2 linked regions of the Daphnia pulex genome follow. The protein of the gene in region 1 purifies or fractionates together with the protein of each later gene. This does not show direct contact. Links are inferred from orthologs where the notes say so. Each region holds a gene or a part of one and is shown on either strand. Other genes may lie near its edges.

Region 1 (2,677 bases):
CACTGTTCCAAAGCAACTGCAAAAAAAAGAGTACTTTAACAAAAATGAAAACGACTGATTTACAACCCCTCGCAAGATCTCAGTATTATATAGGGCAAACCATTATCCACTGCGCACTTTTATTTGCCAAAACCTACCTTGAAATCTTGAGAAGTTTACAGAAAAGAAAACTCACTCGATGGTTTTATAATACAAATTTTCCACATCCGTATTAGCAAACTAGAACATTTGATTAACATATTTAGTTTTTACTTACCTTCTCTCGTAGATGATTGATTGTATCGACGCAACAATAACATATAGGGAACCACCGCTTCGTTAATTCTGGAAAAATCACAAATATTTACACGGTAGTTTAAATTCCTGGAAGACTTGCTTGCTTGCCTCTCCTTCCTGCTAGCTTGAGGATTGCCGAGCCAACTTGAGAAGTCAGTAAGTATTTAAGTTTAAAAGTTCTAATTCAACATGAAGTGTGAAGTTTCGAATCAACATAGTGTCCATTAGGATTGTGAAATTATTTTCTTTCTCCTAAACAAAATATTCATGTTATAAAAATTAATAAAAATATAAGCCACACCCAAAAGAGTACTTCGATCATTGTAAATAGCATAGATTTTAATGAATTCTCTGGTTAAAGAAAAGGGGGAAGGTATTAACTACACACACATCAAGAGAAACGAAGTGTGGAGCGACGAAGCCAACTTTTCTGCCTAACATGCGAGCACAAATCAGACTTTAGATATCATATCTCATAGAAAAAAAATCTTTCTTTTCCCCCAATGTTGCTACTGGTATTGGACTCCCAGTTGCTGAGCCATCTGGAGAAGCACTTTTAAACCAGATATGAACGATCCGATTTCGGTGAAGGGCGTATTGATCACCACATTAGAGTGTAGACTAAGACTGGTCGCGTAATCGTACGCCTGAACAGCTTGCACAATCTGATGTAACCCCAAAAGGGTGGGGCTCAGCAACTACAATAAATTTTACGAACATTAGCTTTACCAAAAAATATTGAATATAGTTGATGAATTACCATATTTTTCCGTAACAGATCATCCAGGCACTCTAGCTTCTTTCCTACATCGTCTAGCTTTCTCTTCAATTGCTAAAAAGAAAAAAAAAATTATAAAATAATGATCTCGTCATGATAATATAATTCTAGTAGTTTCTCACCGCATTGGAGGCTAGTGCGGCACATTTATCTTTCAACGTGTGGAATACATCGTGAATGATTAAGTGTTCGTTTGGAATCGGAAGCAAGGCTTGGGCTGGCTGGATTGGCTCAGGCGCCTGCTGGTGGTGTTGGTTTTGAATCATATCAACTGGAGCATTCATTGCTCCTTGATTGAATGACCCTTCGAAAGGCTGAATAATGGGAATGGCTGGCTGTTCCACAACACCCATGGGGTGATTGATAGTTTCAATGACAGCTGGCTCAGCTTTCACTTTAGCGAACGACGTTAGAGGAGGTGGATCGTTCCAACCAGGAGGCGCGCTCGCGGTGGGAAGAAATGGTACGGAGGGCACGAGATTGGTAGCCAACGGAGGAGTTATAGATGGTGGAGCATCAAATGATGTTGGTTGCATAAATGCGCTTTGTTGCTGCGGCGCTTGAGCGTGTTCCATTGGATTGTAAAGAGATGGAGGCTGTTGGACATTATCCATTACTCCGCCGTTAGACATCTGCCCGCTTTGCATATTGAACGACCCAGGGGAGGGCGGTAAAGGCTGGTTAAACTGATTTCCAGGAAAACCGCCCTGTTGCGCGTAAGATGACGGAGTGTTGAACTGACCAGTAGGTTGGAACATCGCCGAATTCGATTGTGGTGGCTGGGACATGTAACCCATCTGATTGACTTGCTGGAATTGTGAATTCGACGCAGCGTTGAAATATCCACCAGATCGACCACTGGAAACGCTAGGATCCTGGACGTAAACTCTGTTACGTTGATTCAGTGATCCCAAGCGCGAAACATTCCCTGTTATCGGGGGAGGGGCCACCGTAGCTGCTGCAGGCGGTGGTGGAGCAGGCTGATGATACTGCTGCGAAGGCTGGACGCTTGGAGGTTGATGAAATTGCTGCGAAGGCTGGATGCTCGGGGACTGATGAAATTGTTGCAAAGGCTGGGCACTCGGAGCTTGGTAAAATTGTTGTACAGGCTGGCCACTTGGAGGTGGTGCAGGTGTATTGGCCGTTGGAGGCATCGAAGTCGCTGCTTGAGGAGAGTTGTAAGTATTAGTGGACGTTGCCCAATTATTGCCCTGGAATGGAGTTGTAGGTTTCGGGGGATAGGCTGGCACAGCTGGAGCTGAATTAAATTGATCCTGATGACCGTAATAGCTGTTTGTTGGTGTAGAAGACCTATTAATTCCAACCGATGGGTATCGCTGCAGCGGCCCAGCCTTTTGCTGTTGCGATGCCATGCTGTAAGCACCGTTCATCATTCCGGTAGAAACCTTACGGTCGACCGGATTCAATGCGCGTTGAAGTCTGTCCTTTAATTCTACCATCGAATCGTCCTACATGAAACAAGACAAAACAAAAACATTAACGTCTAGATCGTGAATGCGTTCAAGAGAATTTTATTTTTACCTGCGACATATCGAGATAAGTCAGTGCTGCTTCCAGACTGCCTTGGCCAGCCAAGAGTCCGGCGTAACGACAAAGTTGTTG
Region 2 (4,123 bases), about 5.5 Mb from region 1:
ATTCATGTCTCCCCATTGCACGGATTCGTCGGTGGATTCGGTATAAGAAGTCCTCCGTAATTCATGCGATGTTTCAGGAATTGTATCACAACTTATTGGGTTGCTTGTAGCAGCTGGTCCTTGAGTGCTGGCTGGCAGAGCAGGAGACTGATCAGATATTTGGCTGCTTTGAGACTTGTAGAACTTTGATGTGACTGCACTAACTGCCCAACCAGCCCATGTTGATGCCATATCTGTTACATTTGGGCTAGCGTTTGCATTTACATCAGCCTCTGTTTACAGGAAAACATTAAACAAGATAATAAAAATTAAAAATCACCGTTATAGCAATTGAAAATAAATAAATAATTAATAGTACCCATGCATTCTCGAAGAGAAGGATCTTCCGATACTTTTTCCAATTTTGATAGGAAACCTTTAACGACTTTAAAGGCCTGATCGCGCACTTCTCTTTCAGGATCACCCGTCAGTACACAAAGGGCAGGTAAAATTTGATTAGAGATTTGGTTCAGCAGATAATATTGTTGGGTGGCTGCAAATGCTAATATGCCTGAAAAAATTTTTATTTAAAATTTTATGTTTACTAAATCTATTTCTAATGAATGGAATATTTTACCTCCAACTCGGGCAGGAGGAAACGGATCCCTCAGTGCCCTGGTAAAAGCTGATACCAGAACTTTCTGCCTTATCTGAGGATGGAAATAAGAGGCGACTTTTCCAAGGCACACTGTAGTATTGGTACGGATCCCGCCCTAAATGCAAAAAAAAAAAAAAAAAATAATTTTCAACACACGTAGCCTCATTTGTTTGCGAAGAAATTTACCTGTTCATCTTTAGATTGTAATCGCGCGAAGTGCTTGAGAACTTCCACATTCAGATTATTATAATTCAGTTTTGGTGCTAAAGATATAATGGACTGCATTGCGATAATTCCAATATTAATAAAAGTAAAATAAATACAACAGTACTGAACAATCATTTTATAATAAAATACCTTAACAGTGTGCTCTCTTATTACTGGATTCGAGTCTGTAAATCCGCTCAAAATGTGGGGAAAGATGTTATCATTCACAGTGACAGGAAGAAGATGAGCTGAAAAATGTTCTAATTGCTGCAACAAACGGACACGAGTTGCTCTGTCAGGAGACGAGAATAATTTGACTACACAAGGAACAATTCGTTTTTGATATTCCTCTTCGGTTAATAAGCTACCTAACTGGGGAAAAAACATGACGAGAAGGTATTTAAGTACTGTATGCATAAACACATTAATTTAATATTGCTCACCTTAAACAGAGGAGTGAGAATAGTTGCTCCAGCATTACCAAATTCAAATGCATTAATAAGTTGAGGTAAAACTTTGTGTCTGTTTGATAGTAAACATAAAACTGTTACTCAAAATACTTTGTCAGTCTTTTATATATTAAGTATAATTAACCTTGCCAAGTTCTCTGGAAAACTTTCCAACAGTAAAGGTAGCTTATTGAAAAACTGTGTCTTCTCATTACTTTCCTTAATTTGAATCTCTTCCAAAAAAAGGAGACATTCAACCAAATCATTATTGAAGTAACCTCCAGGCTTTCTACAAATAACAAGGACTTCACTGGGGTTAGGGCGAGAACTGGGATTTGCTCCTACAAGTTCACAGTAAACTGATGTTAACAGTTTTGGAATCTAATTAAAAATAATCAAAGTAATATGATTTAACTCATTAATTAAATCAACAATATGTAATTTCATACATTGCCCAAAATTTTTAATGAGGAAGAGGATTTGAGTGAACCGTTGAACACTTCCCAAATAAGGCATCCTAGACCCCACATGTCGGCTGACCTTCACAAACATAAAATTTAAGGAAATATTTAAAGGATAGAAAAAAAAAATCTAATCAAGTACCATTTGGTAGCAAATTTAAGCTTCAATGAATCCACTTTCTCAGGTGGGTCATATTTCTCAAAGGAAGGTAGTATTTTTATTGGTAGAGAATTTATTTGAGATGATGGAGTTGCATTTTCAAAACCTCCAAGCTTCCATTCTGTTATAGTTAATACAATTAGAATGCAGGAACTAGATTATGTAACATGCAAAACTTGGATATTTACCTCCAGCGGTGTTTACAAGTATATTTCCAAGGCAGATAGAATTATGTTGAAGATTCACATCATTATTCAAGAAAGTTAGGGCTCGCTGGAAATAGTTAAGAACTTAAAATCTTTGGTTACATTCCTTATTTAATTTCACTTTAAAACATACCACAACTTGAAAAAGTCCCCATGCTATAAATAATTCTTTTTGTTGTTTAGATTTAGGGTAATCAGTAGCACAACTGTTCAAATAAAACTGCAAGGGCTCAACATACTCAGTTACCAAATACAAACATTTTTCTGTCTAAATAGTAAATGAAAATAAGTAAGCAATCTTTTTATTATAAAAGAATGAATGAATAACCTCTAGACTATCGATGTAAGTGAGAATGTTTGGATGCCTGAGTGTTTTCAATCTTTTCAGAGCTGCTTTCGCAAGTTCTATCTGTGTGTCATTTCCACTTGTTTTAGCATCAAGGATGAAAACAGATACTGGCTCACTAGAACCCTGAGGAATTCCATAACATGAAGATAACCAAACTTTAACTTTGATAATTATGCAGTGTCAATTCACCTTCTTCTTCCCTTTATGAAGTTTCCATAGCATATATTCTTCTGTTCCTGTAAGTTGTTCCAGAATTTCATAACCGAACTCTTTGGAAGGATCTCGGCTGAAAAATGACCACATAGTTATCCTATTGCAATTACTTTAAAAATAGTACTGTAGCAAAGAGTAATTCAATTTTTTATTTCAGTGATCAATTCAAAACGTAACGTTGGTGACAGCGACACGTCATAAATGCGAGCGGCGTGCCACCTTCTGGTAAGTATACGAAGAGTAGTTTGGTCGATAAGGGGAGAAAATACATGAGACGGAAAGACCTAAGAATCCGTAAGAATCGTCATGGAAAAAGTTGGAAATGTTTACACGGATTCGCAGGATGAACAAAATATATTTCCAAGGTAAGATAAAATACAATATTATAGAATACCAAACTAAATGGAACATAATTTTCCAATCCTAGAATTACTGCAAAATGGCTTCGAAATCATTGTAGAAAGCACGGCTTATACCAAACTCCTCACTTAAACGAAGTTTTATACCTTCAACATCAAGGTTTACAATTTCTCTTATAATACTATAAAATACTACATGCCCCAAAACAAATGTTGTGAATAACTCACTGCCTTGTTATCTGAGGTTTTTTTTTACCAATAAGCAGTCCGCGATTTCAAGTGATAACACAAAAATAACCTTTTCTGGAGACCTTTTTTGAAAAGGAATCCTGAAAGAAACCTGAGAATTCTGAGACAATTCCGTACAGAATCGCAAGGCAATTCTAATGCTTCACATTCCTTATAGACAGACAGTCAGACAGTTTGGAATATATTAGGGAACTTAAATTTGATTCCTCGTCCGTATCGCTTTATGCCGTTCGTTTAATACTCAATAGATTGAAAAAATAGTAAAAAAAAAACTTTTACTCTTACTTATCTTACGACGATCGAACTTAAGAGTTGATCGTCGCTTAAGCACGAACTCAAACTTTTAATCGGCGCTCAAATCTTTTGTCTGAGTTTGAGCTTAAAATAAGCGACGATAAAAAAAATTGAGTTCGCTTAAGCTCAATTTATTCGATCGATTCCAGGCGCTGTCAAGCGGTAAATTTTAAACTACGAAAATTGTATGAAATTATTATTTATGAATTTTTCTTGTTTAAACAGTAAAACACAGTAAAAGAAAAAAAAACTAGACAAAAAATTTAAATATTATTAATTGAAAAATGGCAAATTATTATTTCAATTGTGTATCGATTTCAAAGTTTGACCGCTAGATGTCACTGGAAGGTAAAAATTCCAGGCAAACGTTGATCGATGATTTAAGCGCGAAAAATTAAGCGAAACTCGACTCATTTTGAGTTTGAGCATGGTTATCAGGTTATGGTTTGAGTGACCTACCAAACTCAGAAAAAGTTGGTCAGCGATCAACTAAAAAACAATTGATCGGACGGCAACTTTGTTTCCATCCCATAAATCTC

The links. Proteins that work in one complex are often made in the same cells at the same time.
Region 2: the proteins of protein transport protein Sec31A-like (region 1) and N-terminal kinase-like protein purify together in Homo sapiens (affinity purification with mass spectrometry; 3 studies listed by BioGRID and IntAct, counting the BioPlex papers as one, with this or other methods). This does not show direct contact. The link is inferred for Daphnia pulex from reciprocal best matches to the Homo sapiens genes SEC31A and SCYL1.

The regions. Positions count from the first base shown.
Region 1 is NC_060028.1:9,226,940-9,229,616, forward strand, and holds the end of protein transport protein Sec31A-like, read right to left. Parts: coding exon 2,597-2,677; intron 2,524-2,596; coding exon 1,177-2,523; intron 1,109-1,176; coding exon 1,037-1,108; intron 975-1,036; coding exon 786-974; 3' UTR 598-785; downstream 1-597. UniProt on the Homo sapiens protein: Component of the coat protein complex II (COPII) which promotes the formation of transport vesicles from the endoplasmic reticulum (ER).
Region 2 is NC_060028.1:3,728,455-3,732,577, reverse strand, and holds the start of N-terminal kinase-like protein, read right to left. Parts: upstream 2,913-4,123; 5' UTR 2,773-2,912; coding exon 2,659-2,772; intron 2,593-2,658; coding exon 2,449-2,592; intron 2,389-2,448; coding exon 2,254-2,388; intron 2,188-2,253; coding exon 2,103-2,187; intron 2,036-2,102; coding exon 1,897-2,035; intron 1,834-1,896; coding exon 1,743-1,833; intron 1,675-1,742; coding exon 1,439-1,674; intron 1,367-1,438; coding exon 1,288-1,366; intron 1,217-1,287; coding exon 995-1,216; intron 917-994; coding exon 824-916; intron 753-823; coding exon 617-752; intron 551-616; coding exon 359-550; intron 273-358; coding exon 1-272. Other genes in the region: dynein axonemal assembly factor 1-like, read left to right, coding at 2,989-3,047, 3,110-3,201. UniProt on the Homo sapiens protein: Regulates COPI-mediated retrograde protein traffic at the interface between the Golgi apparatus and the endoplasmic reticulum. Involved in the maintenance of the Golgi apparatus morphology.